Arabidopsis thaliana: one gene and its partner. The protein of the gene in region 1 interacts with the protein of each later gene in a pairwise test. Each region holds a gene or a part of one and is shown in the gene's direction. Other genes may lie near its edges.

Region 1 (3,693 bases):
CTTCATATTATAGCTTATTGCATGAGAAAGATGATAAGATGTGCTTCTTAATGATGTAAGCTAAACCTGCTGGATCATTCACAAGCGTAGTAGATTTGTTGCAGGTGGTAATTCTGAGTATCCTATGGATTTGCATCAAAAAGAACAACTGCATGACAATGCTATGTCAATGATGCACTCTCAAAACTTTTCTGTAAGCTTTAGACTGTTTCGAAGTTAACAAAGTGTTGTCCTGCCTTTTTCTGTTGATATGGTTGTTGATGTGAATTAATGTTTGGATATTGCAAATTTGCAGATGGGTAGATCTGGTGGTTTCAACTTGGGAGCAACATATTCATCACATCGTCCACAACAACAGCCACAACATACTTCATCTGTGAGTGGCAGTCTCTCCTATCCCTATATGTATACAAGCCGGAACTTTCTTCAATTTGCATATCTCATATTATTATGGTACTGCATCATGTGGTTGGGCCACACTTGCTCCAACTACCGTATCTTATCATTTAATTCTTATTTAATACCAGACTGGTGGGCTACAGGGTCTTGGCCTTAGACCTCTAAGCTCGCCTAATGCAGTTTCCAGTATTGGTTATGATCAGCTTATTCAGCAGTATCAGCAACATCAAAATCAATCCCAGTTCCCTGTGCAACAGATGTCATCAATCAACCAATTTAGAGATTCTGAGATGAAATCGACACAGTCAGAGGCAGATCCTTTTTGCTTGCTTGGCTTGTTAGACGTACTAAACAGGAGCAACCCTGAATTGACCTCACTTGCTCTTGGCATCGACTTGACGACGCTAGGATTGGATTTGAATTCAACTGGAAATCTCTACAAGACATTTGCGTCTCCTTGGACAAATGAACCGGCAAAGAGCGAGGTCGAGTTCACAGTACCAAATTGTTACTACGCCACAGAACCTCCGCCTCTAACTGTAAGTTCCCTCTGTTGTTGCGAGTAGTACCAACAAAGTATTTTCTCGATTTTGTTAACAAATGTGTCATTATTTCCGTTTGTTGCAGCGAGCTAGTTTCAAAAGGTTCTCCTACGAGTTATTGTTCTACACATTTTACAGGTCTGTTATTAGATCAGCATTCAGCGTCACATTTGCCCAACTCCTAAATTAACCTTGGGCTTTTAAACTTATTACTTTGCTCTAATTATTGTTCCAGTATGCCAAAAGATGAAGCACAGCTGTACGCAGCAGATGAACTGTATGTTTTTTCTCTACTGTAATCTTTGATCTATTCGTTTACTCCGCTCTCTTTGGCTGAGACTTTTGAGTTCGATTGACATGTTGCAGTTACGAAAGAGGTTGGTTTTACCACAAGGAACTCAGAGTATGGTTCTTCAGAGTCGGGGAACCTTTAGTCAGGGCAGCTACATATGAAAGAGGAACATACGAATACCTTGATCCAAATTCGTTCAAAACAGTGAGAAAGGTAAGCCGACGATTATTGCAGGAATATCTATTTCCTTGTTCTCGAATTTGCAGTGTTATGAGTGAATTTTGCTGGTGATGGTTATCGCAGGAACATTTTGTTATCAAGTACGAGCTTATGGAAAAGAGACCAAGCTTGCTGCAGCTTTGACGACAAGTAGGTTTGTTCAATTAGTAGCATCTTTACAATGTAAAGCTTTTCTCTTCATTTCTCTTTCTTTCTTTCTTTCATGCAAGTTCTATTGATTAGAAACCAAAACCATGACATATCACATTTTCAATTTTTAACCCCAAGTTTCCCAAAAAGGTAATCACAATTACTTTCCATGGTCATTTCTTCTGGTTCAAGCATGACATGAACAGGCAATAAATAAGTTGAGATTTTGATCACAGTAACTGATACTTGAATCGAATCATTTAGATTTTTTTTTTTTTTAGTTTACTTGTTTAGTAAATATGTTGTCTATGTTTGTCACAAAAACGTGGCTCAGTTCTTGTATATATGGAGACAAAAAAATCCATTAAAAGATTGTTGACATTCTCGGAAATTTAGTGCCAACTGTTATTGCGAGAACTTACTATAGTTTTCCTTTGGCGAAAAGCTAATAATCTTAAATCTTGATTTTGTCCTCTTTTCTCTGAGTTAGATTTTCTTAAATTCCACTTCCGACCTATTAAGAAATGGGCTTTTGCAAAGAAGATCCGCTTCACTGAGCCCGTATCTCGAAGAGGATAATACAACAACAAAGCAAAACGGCACGTAGTTTTAATTGTAACCAAGGATTGCATTTCGGTCTTGTTTCAACAAACGAAACTTCCTGAAATGCCAAGAAAAATCTGGTCATTTCACCACAGTGATCATTGTGTATGTGTTCTAAAGACTCCAAGCGAAGGTTTTAGAAAAAGGAGCATTTTCTATTCTATTCAAGAAACTCGAAGAACATTCTCTCTTCATCCTCTAACTTCCCTATAAATATGTCCTTTGCTAATCAGATCAAATCAGCAGGAAAATCAAGAACCAAAAGTCTCCCGAAAAGCAACGAACAATGTCTCTCATTCCAAGCATTTTTGGAGGACGCAGATCAAACGTCTTTGATCCGTTCTCGCAAGACTTATGGGATCCATTCGAAGGATTCTTCACGCCATCTTCTGCGTTGGCAAACGCTTCAACCGCTCGTGATGTGGCAGCGTTTACAAACGCAAGAGTGGATTGGAAGGAAACGCCGGAGGCACATGTGTTCAAAGCGGACTTGCCAGGCCTGAAGAAGGAAGAAGTCAAGGTTGAGGTTGAAGACAAGAACGTTCTGCAGATTAGCGGAGAGAGGAGCAAGGAGAACGAAGAGAAGAACGATAAGTGGCACCGTGTGGAGAGAGCTAGTGGGAAGTTTATGAGAAGGTTTAGGTTACCGGAGAATGCAAAGATGGAAGAAGTGAAGGCAACAATGGAGAATGGTGTGCTTACGGTTGTGGTTCCGAAAGCGCCTGAGAAGAAGCCTCAAGTCAAGTCCATCGATATCTCCGGGGCTAATTGAATATGAAGATGAAGATGAAATATTTGGTGTGTCAAATAAAAAGCTTGTGTGCTTAAGTTTGTGTTTTTTTCTTGGCTTGTTGTGTTATGAATTTGTGGCTTTTTCTAATATTAAATGAATGTAAGATCTCATTATAATGAATAAACAAATGTTTCTATAATCCATTGTGAATGTTTTGTTGGATCTCTTCTGCAGCATATAACTACTGTATGTGCTATGGTATGGACTATGGAATATGATTAAAGATAAGATGGGCTCATAGAGTAAAACGAGGCGAGGGACCTATAAACCTCCCTTCATCATGCTATTTCATGATCTATTTTATAAAATAAAGATGTAGAAAAAAGTAAGCGTAATAACCGCAAAACAAATGATTTAAAACATGGCACATAATGAGGAGATTAAGTTCGGTTTACGTTTATTTTAGTACTAATTGTAACGTGAGACTACGTATCGGGAATCGCCTAATTAAAGCATTAATGCGAACCTGATTAGATTCACCGACCCTCCTATCGTGTCGACCTTTCTGTTTCTTAGAATTTTTTGGTAGTCTATGTACTAATAATGTCAGCTTCGTATTTATTTCATAAGCAATTTGCATTTGCAATTTGTTTTTTACTTTTATTTTTATTGTATTGTGGAATGTGGACTCGTACCAACATGAAGTTATATACCACCAAAAAAATTACAGTTAGTCAAAAGATTCACGAGTGAGA
Region 2 (4,835 bases), 2.4 Mb from region 1:
CAAATTTGTCTATATCTAGGGTGATCATATCCATTATACTATTATGCATCTCTTTCAATTTTGGTATTGGCCGGTGAGTCGGCTCAAATGTTGTAACAAGGCAATGAAATGTATAAATAAGGTTTAATTGTGTATATACAGATGCTCGCTAAAAGTTATGTGAGATTATATTGGTGAATTCTTGCACATGTGACCATGTGAAAATCATCAAACGAGGTCAGTAAAGACTGACCCGCATTCTCTATTCATTAAGTATGCAACAAATCCTTAGGACAAGTCCTTTAACTCTGCCCCATCTTGTAAATCCTTTCATAGACACAACTCTTCCCTTGCCCATTCTATATAAGTATCAAGTATGCATATATCTACTTGTATATGTTTTTGTGACTGTTTTATTTTCTGGAAAAATGAGCCACCTAACAAATAAAAATGCTTTAAATGGGCTATTTGCATGCGAATGAGACCATCTCCATTGGGAGTATCTCATAAGAGTTTCTCACAATTAAAAAAATAAAAATAATGAAAATGAAGGAGAGAGAGTGTATAAAGTTTCTCACTTGAGAAACTCTGAGATACTCTGTACAACCCATCATGACAATTCTCATCTTACTATTGGTTCAATTTTTTAACAAAAATACTTTTTTAATCAAATAATCAAATTATAATATAATATTAATATTTATTTTGTTGAGAAACTTTGTGGGTTTCTCATGGATGGAGATGCCCTTAAAATGTCCCGACCATGTTATAAACACACACATTAAATGTACCATTCACCAAAACTTAAACTTGACCAGCCTTAAAAGGATTTTATATCTTTGATATTGGAACTTGAAAGTCTCATCACTTAGAGATTGTACTAATAAAATATGCAAAAGACAAGACTATTTGACAATAAAACTGCGCCTCCCTTGGATCATAATTAGATTCTCGTGTATAAATAAAACCCCCACATGCGACAGCTGAAGAGGAAGGAAACACTTAATCATCAGAGCAGCTTGTAGATGAAGACCAAGAACTCTGGCGCCGGATGTGTCCCCCGTGTAAAAACCAACTCCAGAGCCACTGGTAATCGGGAGACTAGTGATCTGAATCTCCTGGACCGTTTTCGCGAAGCTGTTCTCCGCCTCATCATGATATCTGCTGTCTCCAAGTCCACATCTCGCCGTCATAACAGACAGACGCCAATCCAAAAGTACTACAACCCCACTGATACTTATCACAGCGAAGCCGTGGCTGACTGTATCGAGTTTATCAGAACCAAGAAGGCCATCATCCACCAGGAAAACGTCCCCTAACACCCTCACTTCTTATATTCTTCATTGTCACCTCTTGTTTGATTAGCAAATTATAAATTGGTGGAATAAAAGCTACCCTACGTGTATACGCCTTGCTTAATATTTTTGGGATTATATATTAGTATTAATCATTTTCTTAAGTTACTCTTCAGTCTTCATAAGTTGACATCAAAACAAATCATTACAAATTTACGACCAACCTTTTTATAGTATCCTGTACCGTAAAAACGATTACTAAAAGAAGAATGAATGTATGTTACTGTATTAGTTACCAATATAATATGCATCGTGTAACTTCAAATTTGGTATAGTGGTAGTTGTAAATATTGGTTATCATGTTCAATTGTAATAAGTTTGTAACCAGTTGATGGTAAAGTCAACGATCCACGGCTTTGCTGGATGTTGCCATGTTGGAATGGAGAAGCGCATCATTTGGGCCCATATTTAAAAGCCCATACTCAAAAAGTTGGCCCACATAGAAAATCGTTGGCATCAGTTAAGGCGGTGGAAGACGTCGATCCCTAAAGTCGAAGCCCTTGTTAGGGCTTCTATACATCACCGGCGATATTGGTTTACGCGTCGGAGAGATGGTTGGTGAGTGTTATTGATGACACGAGATTTCAATTCTCGGCGGTGTAACGTGAAGTCTTAACAATTTCATTGTCCAATGGTGGAATTTACAGAGAGAGAGGACCGAGTTTCTTTGGAACTCAGCGAAGAAATTATACAGAGCATGGAACCTGGCGCCGTTTTCAGAGACTATGTAATTTTTCCTTCCCTTCTCGAAGCTTTCTTCTTTTGTTCCTGTTATTATAATGGGATTTTAAAGGATGGAGCTTTTCTTTTCAGAATTGCAGGATCAGCTCAATTGACTTTCACAAAACTTCGACTTGTATGGTGACAGCTAGCGACGATGACTCAATTCGTCTCTATGATGTTGCCAGCGCCACGTGAGTTCCAAACCCCAAACTCTGTCTTGAGTATTGCTCTATAAGACATTCCAACTATATTTTCAGTGTTTTCTGTTTTCTTGTTTCAGATGTCTGAAGACAATTAATAGCAAAAAGTATGGTGTTGATCTTGTTTGCTTCACTTCTCATCCTACTACTGTCATCTACTCTTCCAGAAACGGATGGGACGGTGAGCCCAAATTCATGTGCACATTGCTTTTCCTCATTATCTGATTTGCTTTAACTAACTTTTATATCTGGTTGGTTAGACTCTCTGAGGCTTCTCTCTTTGCACGATAATAAGTACTTGCGCTACTTCAAAGGACATCATGACAGGTTTGTTTCTTTTCTGATTCTTGTTTGATCAGCTTATGTTTTCCTTCACAAACCGGATGAACTTAACCAATTTATGCTGTACACAGAGTTGTTTCGCTTAGCTTGTGTTCTGGTGGGGAATGCTTCATCTCCGGTTCCCTTGATCGTACTGTTTTGCTTTGGGATCAAAGGGTCGAGAAATGCCAGGTAGATTACCTTTCTCTACCCTAGGTGCTTATGGAGGTCTTACATCTAATAAAATTGACCATTTGGGTTAACCACAGGGTCTCTTACGAGTCCAAGGAAGGCCTGCTGCAGCATATGATGATCAAGGGTTAATTTTTGCAATTGCCTTTGGTGGCTACATAAGAATGTTTGATGCCCGTATGTACGAAAAGGTTTGTTCTTGACAAAAGCTACCAATGATCCTGTTATGTCTCTAGCAGCTTGATGGACCACCTGTGCTGTATTCACATTTTCTTATTTACATTGAACGTTTATCTTTTTCTGATTTGGATAAGTTGCTTTTATAGGGTCCTTTTGAAATATTTTCCGTTGGTGGTGATCTTTCTGAGGCAAACGTTGTGAAATTTAGTAATGATGGAAGGCTCATGCTGCTTACAACCATGGATGGTTTTATTCATGTGCTTGACTCGTTTCGTGGAACTCTTGTATGCCTTCAGCCTCCCTTGCTCTTCGCTAGTTATGGTTTTTTCATTTACACACACATGACCAATAAATAAACTGGTTTATGTAACTCTTTTGTGGTACATTGCAGCTGTCCACATTTAGTGTGAAACCAGTAGCTGGAGAATCTACATTGGATGCAGCCTTTAGTCCTGAAGGGATGTTTGTTGTTTCAGGTAACCTTGAGTTTTACCTGATTCGGATGATGCATGCACACACTCACACACTTCCTTCATGTGAAATAACTTGTTCTGTTTTTGTCATGGTTTGGTAGGTTCAGGTGATGGTAGTACCCATGCATGGGGTGTAAGGAGCGGAAAACAGGTTGGACTAGCAATACAGCCATAGTTTGGTGTACATAGTTTGTCACTGGAAACTTTGCTTTTGTATAGTTTTGAGTGTTGATTGGATTATTGTATGTGTAGGTACATAGTTGGATGGGTTTAGGGAGTGAGCCCCCAGTCATTAAATGGGGTCCAGGAAGTCCCATGTTTGTGACAGGCTCTTCCGAACTTGCTTTTGTTATACCCGACTTATCGAAATTGCCAGCTTATGCCATTCGGAAATAGGACGACTATCACGTCTGTGCCATGTAAATGAGGCCTCATTTGGCCTTTTGGTTTCAGACTTTGTTGTGGGTTATGCCGGTAACTTATCCCTTGCACTCTGATTAATATATATTTGGGTCTTGTAACATGAAGATAAACCCCAAGTCTTTCTAATGTTGTAATTCGTGTAATTTACAAGTTTGACTGTTTCTGACTGATTCTTCCGGGAAGCAATCGATCTGACTGAGAGCTTGGGTCGAAGTTAAAATGGTGGGCCGGCACAATATTTAAGTAAAAGCCCAATAAGGTCCAAACTCTAACTAATTTATAGCAGTTAAGAAAGTTGGTTTAGGGAAACTTTATGCCAAACTAAATTTATTCTCCTTGGCGTCTTGTTGTGTTAATCCTCAAGCAAACGACCCGTTTCTGTCGCCAAGTCAACCCGACCCGACTTCGTTCCCATCGGTTGATCGGCCGGGACCTGATTGCGTTTAGCCTCCCGAAATCTACGGGCAAAGTTGATCCCTCTGGGTTTGTCATTTGATATCCTCTTTTCCCGTACCGCGCGTTTATGATTCTGATTACGTTCTTGGTTGTTTGCGATTGATCCGTTTAGGATTTTCTCTGAGTCCATCGCTTATTGAATCGTCAAGGCTTTTTCTTGTTTGACTTTGGAATATCGAATCTGCTCAATACTCCACCAAATTATCAAACTTGGTGTTCTTTGTTGCTCAATACTCCACCAAATTATCAAAACTTGGATGTTCTTTGTAGCTCAATTACCAAATTAATAAGTTGCATTCTTCTTTGTTGCTTGTTAGCCTTTTCATCGAGTTTCGTTTCTGCGATACTATTTTGTTTAGGATAGTATGGCTGAAAAGGAAGTGGTTTCTGCCTCAACTTTAGAATCTAAGATCACTGAGGATCATCATGACATCTGGATCCGAGGAGCGATGGAAAAGAGCCGCTCCTCCAACATCAGTGTTCTGAAGGATAGATTCATAGCTGCTGAGGATTCTGCTCTAGTTTCCAAGGAT

The links.
Region 2: the proteins of HSP18.2 (region 1) and AT5G66240 interact in a two-hybrid assay, tested with the Arabidopsis thaliana proteins (one large-scale study listed by BioGRID).

The regions. Positions count from the first base shown.
Region 1 is NC_003076.8:24,060,141-24,063,833, forward strand, and holds HSP18.2 (heat shock protein 18.2), read left to right. Parts: upstream 1-2,182; 5' UTR 2,183-2,491; coding exon 2,492-2,977; 3' UTR 2,978-3,160; downstream 3,161-3,693. Other genes in the region: VIP2 (VIRE2 interacting protein 2), read left to right, coding at 105-193, 296-376, 528-938, 1,027-1,079, 1,177-1,218, 1,308-1,446, 1,537-1,596.
Region 2 is NC_003076.8:26,464,383-26,469,217, forward strand, and holds AT5G66240 (Transducin/WD40 repeat-like superfamily protein), read left to right. Parts: upstream 1-1,791; 5' UTR 1,792-1,885; coding exon of another isoform or gene 1,886-1,892; 5' UTR 1,893-1,965; coding exon 1,966-2,061; intron 2,062-2,147; coding exon 2,148-2,248; intron 2,249-2,337; coding exon 2,338-2,438; intron 2,439-2,517; coding exon 2,518-2,584; intron 2,585-2,670; coding exon 2,671-2,770; intron 2,771-2,847; coding exon 2,848-2,961; intron 2,962-3,096; coding exon 3,097-3,234; intron 3,235-3,341; coding exon 3,342-3,426; intron 3,427-3,524; coding exon 3,525-3,574; intron 3,575-3,675; coding exon 3,676-3,819; 3' UTR 3,820-4,102; downstream 4,103-4,835. Other genes in the region: AT5G66250 (kinectin-like protein), read left to right, coding at 4,668-4,835.